Saccharomyces cerevisiae S288C: one gene and its partner. The protein of the gene in region 2 purifies or fractionates together with the protein of the main gene of each other region. This does not show direct contact. Each region holds a gene or a part of one and is shown on either strand. Other genes may lie near its edges.

Region 1 (7,954 bases), on a different chromosome or scaffold from region 2:
ATTCCAAAGGATAAGGCTATCAAGAGAATGGCTATCAGAAACATTGTTGAAGCCGCTGCCGTCAGAGATTTGTCCGAAGCTTCTGTCTACCCTGAATACGCTTTGCCAAAGACTTACAACAAGTTACACTACTGTGTTTCTTGTGCTATTCACGCCAGAATTGTCAGAGTCAGATCCAGAGAAGACAGAAAGAACAGAGCTCCACCTCAAAGACCAAGATTCAACAGAGAAAACAAGGTTTCCCCTGCTGATGCCGCCAAGAAGGCTTTATAACTTGATTAATATAGGTGAAACATAAGTAAATTTTTCTACTATTTCTAATCAATAAAAAATAACCATTACAATAGTTTTCTATTAAATATGTTAATGTTTCAAGTATGTTCAACATCAAATATTACTATCGTCACCTTCCACGAATATAATTTGATACGAAGTATAATTTTTTTGATTTTTTTTTCGCCTCCCTTTCTTCCCTTTAATGAGATATTGAAAAAAACTGTCTGAAGTTAATTATTAACTATGAGCGGAATGCTATCTGTATATATTGCATTGGGTTAGACAATAATCGTTTTACTCAGATTTATATCAGATAGGAAAACGACCAGTAACTATTTCTATTCCGGCACGGCATAAACGTTTTTTTTTTGAGACAATTGGCATATACTCCCCCCGCGCACGTCAATAGATCCTTAACTAAGTAGATTTTTTTTGTTTTTTTCCTTCCTTTTTTCTCTTTTCCATCCAATTTTGCCTAACATTTCCCGTCAAAGATAAAGGGAGTTTGCACAAGACAAGACTATTACGTTAGAGAACTTTCCACGAAGAGACTGGAAGAATTGAAAATTGAATATACAAACGCATTCTAGAAGAATTCGATTACGTCAATTAGGCTCTCTTCTATATTTTAGTTCACCCTTTTTTCGTCCTGTTTCGATTTTTATTCCTATCAGAGGGTGAATAAGGCAGCTTAATACGATTACCCCCACTCCACCAACATATTAAGAAAGGGAAAACTAGTGTTTCTATAAACTGTAAACCTCATAAAATCTAGCCAACATATCGAGGTCAAACTGGAGAGATCTTACGCATAAAGAAATATAATATAGCGCACAATGGCACAAAACAATTTTGATTTTAAATTCAGCCAATGTTTTGGTGATAAAGCAGATATTGTGGTGACAGAGGCGGATCTAATTACAGCTGTAGAATTTGACTATACTGGAAATTATCTGGCCACTGGTGATAAAGGTGGCCGTGTGGTACTTTTTGAAAGAAGTAATAGTAGACATTGCGAATATAAGTTTTTAACAGAGTTTCAAAGTCATGACGCAGAATTTGATTATTTAAAATCCTTAGAAATTGAAGAGAAGATAAATGAAATCAAATGGTTACGACCAACTCAAAGATCACACTTTCTTTTGAGCACAAATGATAAAACTATAAAACTTTGGAAAGTTTATGAGAAAAATATAAAATTGGTAAGCCAGAACAACTTAACAGAAGGGGTTACGTTTGCGAAAAAAGGCAAGCCCGATAACCATAACAGTAGAGGAGGCTCCGTGAGGGCTGTATTATCTTTACAATCGCTGAAACTGCCTCAATTATCACAGCATGACAAAATCATTGCTGCCACCCCAAAGCGTATATATAGTAATGCACATACCTATCACATTAATTCGATATCGTTGAATTCTGATCAGGAAACATTTTTAAGTGCTGACGACTTGAGAATCAATTTATGGAATCTGGACATACCAGATCAGAGCTTCAACATCGTAGATATCAAGCCAACCAATATGGAAGAACTTACCGAAGTGATCACAAGCGCTGAATTTCATCCGCAAGAATGTAATTTATTCATGTACTCTTCTTCCAAAGGTACAATAAAGTTGTGTGATATGAGACAAAATTCCCTATGTGACAATAAAACCAAAACATTTGAAGAATATTTGGATCCAATCAATCATAATTTTTTTACAGAAATCACGTCGTCAATTTCCGACATAAAATTTAGTCCAAATGGTAGGTATATTGCATCCAGAGATTATTTAACTGTCAAAATTTGGGACGTAAATATGGATAATAAGCCTTTGAAAACCATAAACATACATGAGCAATTGAAGGAAAGATTGAGTGATACCTATGAAAACGATGCGATTTTCGATAAATTTGAAGTTAATTTTAGTGGTGATAGTTCAAGTGTAATGACTGGTTCTTACAATAACAATTTCATGATCTATCCTAATGTAGTAACTTCTGGTGATAATGATAATGGCATAGTCAAAACTTTTGATGAACACAACGCACCTAATAGCAACAGCAATAAAAATATCCACAACAGCATACAAAATAAAGATTCTAGTAGTAGTGGCAACAGCCACAAGCGTAGGAGTAACGGACGCAACACAGGCATGGTGGGAAGTAGTAATAGCTCTAGAAGCAGTATAGCGGGAGGAGAAGGAGCAAATTCGGAGGACTCGGGAACCGAAATGAATGAAATCGTGTTACAAGCTGACAAAACAGCGTTCAGGAACAAAAGATACGGTTCGCTAGCGCAAAGGTCTGCAAGAAATAAGGATTGGGGTGACGATATTGATTTCAAGAAGAATATTTTACATTTCTCATGGCATCCAAGAGAAAATAGTATTGCTGTTGCAGCAACTAATAATTTATTCATTTTTTCCGCATTATAATTATAATAATTCCTTATTTTCCCTTACTTTTTTTTATCCCATATCTTCCCCACATACTACTACTGTTTTAATTGAAATTTAAATTGAACTTGAATTCAAATTTTTTAGATTTAGATTTGCCCCTCATTGAAAATCTTTCTATCTTTATTTTTTTATTTTATCTTCTCTACTTATATTTTTATTCTACTTCAAGCGTGTTTTATTATCATTATTCTGAGACTTATACCATTTTCTTTCGTTTTTTTTCTGATTAGCTATCTTATAAACACTGTATCAATTATTAATCCGACATCCCTTTATCAGGACTTCTTTCATCACTTCACCAAAACGCGTGGAACATAAAAATAAAACGTCTTAAATTCTTCTTCATAGGTGCATGTTTATGTTTTTAAATGCTTATACATTTGCAATATAATTATATATATATAGATGTTTAAGAACGGAATGATGCTTCGCCGCCCAAAATACCTAGTACCTTTAGTTCCTATCAAAGGATTAATCTTTTTTTATTTTGAATTTTTTTTATCGAATATAAAAGAAATAAGTAAGAATTAGTAAAATTATCATAAATAAAAATTTTTCGAAAAGTTTATTCTCACTTAATCAATTAATTAATCGTCGTGCTCGATGTGCCTGTTGACAACAGGATTCCAGAATAATGTCTTATCACCGTCACCCCAGAAAAAAGGCTTAGACCTGATATTCATAAACTCGTAATCCCTTGGCCATTCGGAGTCTGGCACATGTTTCAAATGTTCACGATGCTCAGCATGCTCCTTTTCAACAAAGTATGTGTTCACAGCTGTTAAAGCAATTGCTGGTAGGGCGACCCAAACTGAGATTTTAACCCACATATTAGATGTGTCCTTCGCATGCTTTTCAGTGGCCATTAATGATTCTTTAAATTTTTGAGCTGCCACTTTATCTGGTGGGCCAAATGCAGGTTTCAAAGCATTTGGGGGTAATGAAGATGCATATCTCTTAGCACACTGTCTAAACATTTTTCTATTGTTTGTTATTTGTATAACTGTAGAACTGTAGTAATATGATTTTAAATCTAGATAAAACACATGCGATGTGTAGTGAAAACGTTCAAGGCAACGTGTATGTTTGTTATATTTAATGTATCCCGTCACTCATCGTGATCACATCCCAGCTGGGGGTTATTTTTCGATTCTCTTAGACCGATACTCCCAGTACCGCCTCTCATTGGTGGGAAAAAAAATTACCCGAAATTACTATATTGTGTCAATACCGCACCATATCACTACATTCATAGCGGTATAATCGAAAGGATAGCGGCGTTGGGTTACTACTATCGTCTACCTATTCAGCAGGATAGCTTACTCTGTATTAGCAAATAATAGTCGTTCTTCGCTATTCCCACAGTTTCCAGTAAGAACGATTGGAGTAGAAAAAAAGAATGGTAGAATGCGCCATGGGAAAGAACCGACCAAGAGTGGGAGCAAATAAGTCAAGTAATTACATTAGTAGTGTTTAATGGTTGAAAATATGGCCAGAACTAGTATTAGCTTTCTCCAGGCGACAACAATTTTTAAACATCCGGGTAATAAATTGTTCCAGTTGATGTAAAAAAATACACGGACTCGGATAATAATTATTGGACATAAACCATATCCTTCTCTATTCCAAAGTTTGTCTAATACAGACCAGGAAACCATTTACTTCCCGCTGCAGTCTTTTTTATGACCATCTTTTTTATGCAATGCTATTAATGTTTAAAAGGATTATTTAACGCTTTACTGAGCAAAATATAGGTTATTTAGTGTTTGGAATTGTTGTTTTTGTTGCTGTTTGGATTCAAAGGGAGTATGTTTTTGATTCATAGGATTCTGCTTGGCCTCAGCATAATACTTACCACTCCCCATATCCATATTATTCCAATACTGCTGCTGATGCTGCTGCTGTAATTTTGAAGGTTGCTTTTTGTCGATTTTTTTAGTACCAGTGTGGCTGGTTCCAGTTTTGCTCTTCATAAACTCCTGGTACTTCCTCTCGACATCCATTTCGTAAATGCAATTTCCTGTCAACTGGTTTCCGATGGTAAACCAGCCAGGCCGCGTATTGTGATCCCTTCCGAATATCTCTAGTTTTCTGGCATGGGTGCCTGCCAACCGTTCTGCTATACCATACAGTTCATCAGGCTTTCTACTAGTCTCTCTGGTCATTGATACGATCAAATCGACGTCAATATGTTTGTTGATCCACTTTGGATTACCCTTTAAGCCCACCAATAAATGCTCCTTAGAATGATTTAACCAATGACCCGTACGACCTGTAACAATTGTTCTACCCAGTTGGTTTGTCTTTATCCATGAAACTTCATTTATCACGTTGTAACCCCAGTTATTCAAAGACTCTTTACCCAATTCTATAGCTCTACCCGTCACCCAAAGAAAAATAATACCTTCATCTTGTAGTTCGTGCAAAGGCAAACCTAATAGTTCAATATCGTTGCAAGTACCGTATGGTAGGTTCATATGGATATTCCATGCAGGATCTGCAATAACTACCGAAAACTTTCCAAGAACCCTAAAATCAAATTTCCGCACATCGCAACGGATCCACTGTGCAGGTAAAGCCTTTTTGATACAATGTGCGGAGCAATTGCCCAGAGTATAAAATGGAATGGAAACGTTTGACCGTATTCTTTTATTTTCACTCGCAGTTTCACGATCAGCTCGCTCTTGCAAGCATGACGGAATATATTGCAGGTAATGAATGTATCGACACGTATTTAATTTATGACAGGTATCCAAATAGGAACAATCTCCTAACGAAATATCAGTTTGTGGTTTGATATTAGGGATAAAGTGAATTTTTGATTGAATGCACTCAATTAATCCTGGGTGATTTTCCTGACATGCGGATATTTTGGACCATTGTAAAGAAACGATTTTGTTATTGACAATGTACACCGAGGTGGACAATAGAGATGCATGCGAATAGTCACTACATATCGGGATGTATTCAATGACCTCGGTCGTGTATTTGGCTCTTTCTTTAGCAAGCTGAAAAGATGATGGTTTTTCCCTCAATAAATTTTGTAAGCGATTGCTCAGTTGTTCACGTGGTAACCCCTGGTTGCTGACGTTAACGTCCCAGTTCAGGACTCCAAGCAGTCTACCCAGCAGTTGGTCTTTTTCCGAATCAGCTTCCGGTTTTGTTGTTAAACTCGACACTTTTTCTTCACATGAAGAACTGGACGATTTTAATGTATAGTAGAAGGCATGGAACTTGTTATAGAGAATTTTCAAGGAAAAAACGTCCAGGTAAACAATTTTTTCTGGCCTATCTGCCACTAATAGATTCTGGTCAAATTGAATGGACTGCGGCGTTGCAAATATAATATCCTGAAGATCATTCCAAAACTGTTCAAACTGTAAGACCTCGTCTTTATCGTTTCTCAACTTCTGCATCTCATCATCGTATCCGCCACTGATGTACAGTGAATACACATCTTTGAGCTGTCCAGAAAGCGGTGCTCTTAGGATGTCATCATAATTCTGGATCAGAAAATGTACTAGTTTATCGTTAATCATAGCCTGCTTACAACTTTTATGAATTCAAGTCTGAATGCCAATTCTTATTTTTTTCGAAAACCCCCAATGCTAACTTATATGGTCCGTTTTCTTTACTGTTATCCATCTCCCTTTCCTATAGCTCCAGCGGTTACCGATCTTCCAGAATGCCGGGGAGATCTTTCTCTTTCTTTGTTTATAACAAGTTTCACAAGCACGAAAGAAAGAACAATACTGTACGCCAAAAGCCGCCTAAAGACGCATATTCCCGTCAATTTATGTGACCGGTACCACTATATACCTAAGGCACCTCTATACCAATGTAGAATGCCCTGTTTATACTCTATATAGAGGATTCTCGATGTTCTTTGGGGCATCGTTAAACGTGATATTCCTACTATGTTACTAAATGTTGAACTGAAAGCATCTTGAAACGATTCTAATCAGTTTTAGGTGTGTCGCCAATGTACAGTTATAGAAAAGACGCCAGATTACTCAAGTACGTTAAAATCAGGTATCAAGTGAATAACAACACGCAACATGTCTGGAACATTTAGTTATGATGTGAAAACAAAGGAGAACGAACCATTATTTGAGTTTAATTCTGCTTATTCTCCCAGGGTATCGTATCATTTTAACTCCAAAGTTTCACATTACCATTATGGTGTTAAGCATCCAATGAAGCCGTTTCGGTTAATGCTAACGGATCACCTAGTTTCCTCTTATGGATTGCACAAGATTATGGACCTTTATGAAACAAGAAGCGCTACCAGAGACGAATTACTACAATTTCACTCGGAAGACTACGTGAATTTTCTCTCGAAGGTTTCACCAGAAAATGCAAACAAACTGCCCAGAGGCACACTTGAAAATTTTAACATTGGAGACGACTGTCCTATTTTTCAAAATTTATATGATTATACAACACTATACACTGGTGCGAGCCTTGACGCCACCAGGAAACTAATCAACAATCAATCGGACATAGCGATAAATTGGTCTGGTGGTCTTCATCATGCAAAAAAGAATAGTCCATCTGGGTTTTGCTATGTAAATGATATTGTGCTTTCTATTTTGAACTTATTACGATATCACCCAAGAATCCTTTATATCGATATCGACTTACATCACGGCGATGGTGTCCAGGAGGCATTTTACACCACAGATAGGGTCTTCACGTTGTCTTTTCATAAATATAATGGCGAATTTTTCCCAGGAACTGGTGATCTGACAGAAATTGGTTGCGACAAAGGAAAACATTTCGCATTAAATGTACCCCTAGAAGATGGCATAGATGACGACTCATATATAAACCTTTTCAAGTCAATTGTAGATCCTCTAATAATGACTTTCAAACCAACACTTATTGTCCAACAATGCGGTGCGGATTCCTTAGGTCATGATCGCTTAGGATGCTTCAATTTAAATATAAAGGCACATGGAGAATGCGTAAAATTTGTCAAATCATTTGGTCTACCAATGCTAGTAGTGGGCGGTGGAGGTTATACACCTAGAAATGTATCACGGCTTTGGACCTACGAGACAGGAATTTTAAATGATGTCTTGCTACCAGAAGACATCCCCGAAGATATCCCATTCCGGGACTCATTCGGGCCGGATTATTCACTTTATCCTATGTTAGATGACTTATACGAAAACAAAAACAGTAAAAAACTACTGGAAGACATTAGAATACGATGTCTAGAAAATATCAGATAC
Region 2 (7,525 bases):
TAGTTGAAGGTACCCTAAATTGTTGATAGTCATTTCCCTGAGGAGTTGGAGAGAGAGCATATTCCATTTCACGGCGTTGATTATCAGAACTTTTTCTACTCGTTGGTGACGTATGCGCTTGTTCTGGCATTGCTAACCTCGGTGGAATTAAGACATGTAAGGGGGGCTCTGTGCCATCGCTATTCTTTGGAGTGAATGGCACAGAGGTATCTTTTGTCGCCAACGTGGCTTCTGGCTCTGATTTCATAGCGGTTGTATTGACCTCTACGTCCCTTTGCTTCACACTTTCCGGTATTTCAGAAAGCTTTTCTATATTTTCGTGGCTCTGTCGCTGTTGTTGATTCCGAATTTTCGCATGTTTCCTATCAAGCATCTCAGAAGTCAAGTAATATATGGAAATCATTGGATGATATGCCCGAGTTGGGTCTTCAAAACTCTCTGTTATGTTTGGCGCGTTTCCGTTATCACTGGATTCTGCGTTCATTTTGGCCGCTAAAGTCCAGTATTGTCTAGAGAGAAGAACGTAAGTAGGATCTGTGATTATACTGACCAAAACACTTCTTGTTTCCTCTACATCGTCAATAAATTCTAAACGGTACATTTCTTTTAAGACATTTATATCAAGCATTTCGATAGTTAGGGGAACTCTTTTCGGTAAGTAAGAAGGAGGGGGACCATTGAACCCTCTTACCATCCAGTGGTGCTCCACAACCTGTTTAAGTGTGGCTCTTCTTTTCGGATCTACTACCAACATTTTGGATAACAGTGATATTACTTCGATAGATAAATGTTGGGGATATTCAACCTTACCTTGCTTGATCTTTTCATGTAAAACGCTCGAATTTTCGTCGTCAAATGGCACTTTACCGCATACCAAAACAAATAAAACTACACCAAATGACCAGACATCTACTTCAGGTCCTGTATAAGGATTCGCTTTTAACAGCTCGGGAGCGGCAAAATACAGAGAGCCACAGAATGTATGAAGCTGCTTCCTAGAATCATAAATATTTGAAAGTCCAAAATCAATTATCTTGATTTCACTGGAATCTGAAATCATTATATTTTCTATCTTCAAATCTCTATGGACGATGTTGTTAGCATGCAAATATATTAAGGCGCTCGCGATACCCCTAGCAAACTTTCTCGCTTGGTGTTCTCGTATTGACCCATGTTGGATGATATAGTCTAACAGCTGACCACCTGAAACATATTCAAACAACATATAGAAATGATTTGACAACGTGCACATCTCAAAAAGTCTACATATGTGTGGATGATATAAGATTTGTCCCAAGGACGCTTCTCGAATAGTTCTTTTGTCCCTAGATATTTCCTTCTCTAATTTCTTCTGTCTCTCCAAAACATCTTGTTCATTTTTGGGTGGTGGCAGCATTTGTTCTTTATGTAGGAAAGCCTTTGTAGCACGGTTTACAATTTTTACTGCACAAACCTCATTAGTGTAACGATGTTTTGCCAGCTTCACTTTACCCATAGAACCTGCACCAACTGTTTCAACAAACTCCCAATCTCCTAACGATTTTCGATGAAACTGCTTAGGCATGCCCTGAGAAGACGAAACTCGACTCTGGCTGGTAGTATTTGGCTTTGGTGCATTCTCTCTCGATTTACCTTCAAGTTCTACTTGTCTCTCCTTTTGCTCTGCTTGATGTGAGTTACCATTATTGGCGTATTTGATATCCGCCGGGGGCATTAGCGGTGTGTTCTGCTGCTGCTGCTGCTGTGGACTTTTTCCCATCATTCTCAGCGTAGCGGGCGCCATAGTGCTTGGTTGTGTATGCATGCTGTTGCTTTCACTATTGCCATCATCCTGCTGGTTACCTCTGCCCATTGAGAAGGCAGTATTTACGTGATAATCATCCATATTCTACGTGAGCAAAAAGTAATCGTAATAAACTGTACCTGTTTAAAAGAAGTTGAAAAAAAAAATGCGTAATAGCCCAAAATCCCTAGTATATTCAGTTGCTCTAATCGGAGCAAAGATGTTTGAATTTTACTAATCAATAGTTGGAAAATGAAAGACCGATAGGGTAGGGGGGCGAAGGGTGACAACTAATTATGTTAACTAGCCTAGGTTACCGTATGTCCTTATAATAACGAAGTAAATCTCAAAAAATTTCAAATCACAAAGTGGCTCTAACTAAACCTGCTTGATATCGTATCTCGCTAATACACTTCCTCAACGCCATAATTTCTTGTTAACGTTCCACCAATATCAACTTCTTGTCCCCTTTCTTTCCTTCCGCATTGGCGCCGCGTTGGGTTCCCCGGCTTGCAAATAACGACGATGAGTATAGCTTATTATGTATGTAGGTAATAAAGGCAAGTTACATACTACGATCCTGTGGGAGTGGTGGCAAGCACTACTAGACAGTTTCCATAGCGGGGTTACGTTTGCTCAAGGTTTTGAACTCTAGTTTCTACATCTTGGCTCTCCGTTTTCTGTTTCTTTTCGGAGGACTCTTCTACGTCCTGTAATGCATCGCCTTGTTCTTCTATTTCGTCATGCTCTTTAACCTTTTCCACGGGCACATTCTCCTTATCTTCACCCATATCTATATCGCCATCAGCATCTACTTCACCACTATCTAGTTTTTCCTTCTTCCTCTGTTCAACAGCAGCTTGGTATTCATCTAGTTTATCTCTAACCGGACCCTTCAATGCCGAGTGTCCTATATGGTCCAAAGCACTCAGAACATCATCTACACTGCAGCTTTTTTTATCTTGACTCTTTGCAATTTCCCTTGCAAACAGGAGCAAGTGGTTAACAAATACTGTAGCACCACGCTGTAACGCTAGTGATGCGTCTTTATTTATCAGCAGCTTTTTGCCGCTTTGCTGTGGCACTTCGCGTGCCAAATTCACAATAGTGCTTTTAGGAAATAACAGGTCCTGAATCGTAATGTTCTCTTGTTCTTTAATATACGAAGTAGTGGGGTAATTCCCTTGGGCGTCTTTTCTCCAACCTTTTGGTGGCATCGTGTGTAAAAATATATGGTCTGATATAAATAAGCAATGAAAGGCTTGACTTCTATTTCAAAGTATTAAATAATTAAAAAAATCCTTCCTTTCACCTAAAACCTCTAGGTAATATTCTGTGGCTTCTGCTATTGTGCCGCTATGAATAACAATTTTAAGCTCTGATGATCGAATCTGGTTTTTAACGTTATTCCAATTTGAGCCTTTCTTTATTCGTCCAAAGGGATAAAGCATTATTTTTTTTTCATCGCATTCAATGCTCATCGCAAAGTTACAGATCCTGAGCAGTCATAAGTTGATACCTTTCCTCTTACAATGTAGATATGGAAGGTTTCTTCAGGATACCCCTCAAGCGGGCAAATTTACACGGAATGTTGAAGGCTGCTATATCCAAAATTAAAGCGAATTTTACCGCGTATGGTGCACCAAGAATCAATATTGAGGATTTCAATATAGTCAAGGAAGGAAAAGCAGAAATTCTTTTCCCTAAAAAGGAAACTGTTTTCTATAATCCCATCCAACAATTTAATAGAGATCTAAGTGTTACATGCATCAAGGCGTGGGACAACCTATATGGTGAGGAATGTGGCCAAAAGAGAAATAATAAAAAAAGTAAGAAGAAAAGGTGCGCGGAAACTAACGATGATTCTTCCAAGCGTCAAAAAATGGGAAACGGGTCACCAAAAGAAGCCGTTGGTAATTCTAATCGAAACGAACCTTATATAAATATTTTGGAAGCATTGTCAGCCACTGGGTTAAGAGCCATTAGGTATGCTCATGAAATTCCCCATGTGAGGGAAGTTATTGCTAACGATTTACTTCCAGAGGCTGTCGAATCTATAAAACGAAACGTTGAATATAATAGTGTCGAAAACATTGTCAAGCCAAACCTTGATGATGCTAATGTCTTAATGTACCGTAACAAAGCGACGAATAATAAGTTTCACGTCATCGACTTGGATCCTTACGGTACCGTTACACCTTTTGTAGATGCGGCTATTCAGAGTATTGAGGAGGGTGGTCTAATGCTGGTAACTTGCACTGATTTATCCGTTTTGGCCGGTAACGGATACCCAGAAAAGTGTTTTGCCTTATATGGTGGTGCAAATATGGTTTCTCATGAATCAACTCACGAAAGTGCGCTGAGACTAGTATTGAACTTACTAAAGCAAACTGCCGCGAAATACAAGAAAACTGTGGAACCGCTTTTGTCGTTGAGCATTGACTTTTACGTCAGAGTTTTTGTCAAAGTCAAAACAAGCCCGATTGAAGTCAAAAACGTTATGTCAAGTACTATGACTACTTACCATTGTTCCCGTTGCGGCTCTTACCACAATCAACCTCTGGGCAGAATTTCTCAACGCGAAGGTAGGAACAACAAAACATTCACCAAATACTCGGTTGCGCAAGGGCCTCCGGTTGATACTAAATGTAAGTTCTGCGAGGGGACATACCATTTAGCTGGTCCAATGTATGCAGGACCTCTACACAACAAGGAGTTCATCGAGGAGGTGTTGAGAATTAATAAAGAAGAGCATCGTGACCAGGATGATACATATGGAACACGTAAAAGAATTGAAGGTATGCTATCTCTAGCTAAGAATGAATTATCCGATTCGCCATTCTATTTCAGTCCTAACCATATTGCATCGGTAATAAAATTACAAGTACCTCCCTTGAAAAAAGTAGTCGCAGGCCTAGGTTCCCTAGGCTTTGAATGTTCATTGACACATGCCCAACCATCGTCCCTAAAGACTAACGCTCCATGGGATGCAATCTGGTATGTGATGCAGAAATGTGATGATGAGAAGAAAGACTTAAGCAAAATGAATCCAAATACTACGGGCTATAAGATTTTATCGGCAATGCCAGGATGGTTGAGTGGCACTGTCAAATCAGAGTATGACTCAAAGCTGTCGTTCGCACCAAATGAACAAAGCGGTAATATTGAAAAACTAAGGAAGCTAAAAATTGTGAGATATCAGGAAAATCCAACAAAGAATTGGGGCCCAAAAGCCCGTCCCAACACTTCATAAGAATTTTGATTAGTGTTAGAGCTAAAACGTAAGAAACTAAGGATCCGCCCGAGAACGGTATAATGGACGGAAAAGAATGCTTCTCTTTTGTAATATAGATGTTTAAAGTAATCAGGAGGGCAGTATGTATGTGTAAAAAATAAATAAATATATATATATATTTGAGGAACCAGATCTCAAATGAAAAATATAAGCCAGTATATTTTTTGCATTGTAGCCACTGTTGTAACCTCTGGGCATATAAATAATAATGTATAGCGCCTAGTATCAAACTAAACTCGCCATGTTGGTAGTGTTACACTCATTTTTAGCAAATTTTTTTTTCTTATCAAACTCATGCTTTTCTTGCCTTACTAAAGAAGTATACAGCACCAGGCCAACCTAAACAAACGCTCAATACTGCACTCCATTGAAAGATTTCTGGAATGAGCCTTCTACCTTCCGTAATTACCCACGATTCACCTATTCTACCGCCTGTATACCTCTTGATTGGGGCAGCACGAGCGGAAGATCTCAAAACTTGGCTGAAGAACATTTTACCTATTTAGAATTAAAAGAGTCTGTAAATATCTGTGATATGGTCAAGTGTCTAAAAAGTACAGACAAGGAAACGAAATAAAAAAAGAATTGTTTCGTCATGCAAGAGGAAAGTATGAAAGAAAAATGACTGGCTTATATATTAAGTGTCATTTAGTCGGAGAAAACACTATCATAAACAAAACCATGTTTTCTTTGGTTGCCTACTGATAGAGGGGTTTCCGCTTGCTGCATTTTCAGCAAGTAAAAATCAAGCTATTCTGGCCATTCATTTCTTGCACGGATACCATATCCCCTTGTTCACTCTTCTATTCTTCCCCCGCCCCATACGATCATTTTTCAGATCCCGCCTTTGTGCGGTCACCACAATGATTGAAGTTCCCTGCATCTTTATCTAAGCGACAAAAGTATTATCGGGTTTAAGAAAAAAGAAAAAAAGTATTTGTATTATTTAAAGTATACATTTTCATCTACCGGTTCAAGATAGTGACAAACAATTTTGACTACGACAATGGATTCTGTTGAAAATGAATATTGCTACGACAGTAATCGTAAAAAAAAGGGTAGAGAGTTTGAATACGTTTCGACATGCTTGTAAATAACACTCAATCAAAGTTTGAAAAACAAACTTTGGGGCTGATTCGTGTACCCAATCTGAAGATTCCGTAGCGTGCTTGATAATTTTCAAAAGGTCCTTTTTAAGATAACCTTGCTTGCTAAATGGCATCACCTTCTCATGCATAAGTTTTATTAATGTTTTGTGGAAGACATAACCACCCAAGGAAATACCAACCGTCCCCCCCACGGCACCGAAACAATATACGATAGAACCACTGATAGGTGACTTTCTTTGTTCATGGTACTCATGATAAAGATTTGACAGCAAGGTCAATATCATAGAGGAGCCCAAAAATGGCAGAGACAAACATATATATTGCTTCCATACTGGTAAATTCAAACTTACCCCCATAAGTGCCACATATAGTAACAGGGTGGCTCCGCTTAAAACAAATTTTAGCAAAAAATTCTGTCCTTTCGACTTCCAAAAATAAGAAACACTAAAGTAACCCAGTACAATGGAGAAAAAGAATGGGGACAATCTCTCTGCAAGTTGTAAAGTGCTTAAATTTAAAACAATGATGAAGTACGTTGTACCGAATGGGATGATGCACATTAATGCTGCAAAGCAAAATGAAATTCCTATCATTGTCCATATTAAACGCTTGTCACCTTGTAAGGACATTGAAATTACAGAGTTCATGTAAGTATCGCTTGTCTCTATCAAGAAAAATAAAATGCCACAAACGATAATTACAGAAAATAGTAGCGCTTGAATCATCGTATTATTCTTTAACCCTGTTAAATCCAATGAGGTCACTTGAACGAAACAAAGTAGGAATAGCGTAAGTGTCAATATTTCGTATAAATCAGGACTTAATAGAGTATTCTTGAATCTTTTCCATAATGTAGGCGTTGGGCGTCCATATAAAGTGCTCTTAACAGAATACATATCTGCCAGCATAATCGAGGCATTCACAAGGCAAAAAGGAACTGGTATTAAGAAGGCATTTCTCCACCCGCTACCATGAGAAGAATCAAACAAGTTCATCATAAAGGGCCCAATTACCACACCCATAGCAAATGTTATCATAGAGGCACTCAATGAGTACCGACTGTCGTTCTTTTGAGAAAACCGATTCATAATAGTACTTTTGAGCGCTATTAAGGAACCGCCCCCAAATCCTGTGACACAACGGGCAAAGATAAACGTCCAAAAATGGGCAGAACTCCAAGATAAATAGCCACCAAGGATAAAACTGAATTGAGCAATACACAACAACAATTTTACACTGGATATTAAAGATAGCTTCAAAAATACCAGTTGCCCAATAGCATTACTCAATAGGTATGCTGAGATGACTAAGGATAATCTCCATAACTCATGAAACTCC

What was found.
Region 1: the proteins of COX26 (region 2) and COX13 purify together in Saccharomyces cerevisiae (affinity purification with western blotting, with the first as the bait; one study listed by BioGRID). This does not show direct contact.

What each region holds. Positions count from the first base shown.
Region 1 is NC_001139.9:140,548-148,501, reverse strand, and holds COX13 (cytochrome c oxidase subunit VIa), read right to left. Parts: upstream 3,695-7,954; coding exon 3,305-3,694; downstream 1-3,304. Other genes in the region: 40S ribosomal protein eS26 RPS26A, read left to right, coding at 1-273; protein phosphatase 2A regulatory subunit CDC55, read left to right, coding at 1,113-2,693; IME4 (mRNA (N6-adenosine)-methyltransferase), read right to left, coding at 4,454-6,256; YGL193C (uncharacterized protein), read left to right, coding at 6,275-6,586; histone deacetylase HOS2, read left to right, coding at 6,776-7,954. UniProt on the Saccharomyces cerevisiae protein: Component of the cytochrome c oxidase, the last enzyme in the mitochondrial electron transport chain which drives oxidative phosphorylation.
Region 2 is NC_001136.10:689,060-696,584, reverse strand, and holds COX26 (Cox26p), read right to left. Parts: upstream 5,572-7,525; coding exon 5,371-5,571; downstream 1-5,370. Other genes in the region: serine/threonine protein kinase KIN1, read right to left, coding at 1-1,885; DPB4 (DNA polymerase epsilon noncatalytic subunit), read right to left, coding at 2,410-3,000; TRM1 (tRNA (guanine26-N2)-dimethyltransferase), read left to right, coding at 3,324-5,036; VBA4 (Vba4p), read right to left, coding at 6,052-7,525. UniProt on the Saccharomyces cerevisiae protein: Component of the cytochrome c oxidase, the last enzyme in the mitochondrial electron transport chain which drives oxidative phosphorylation.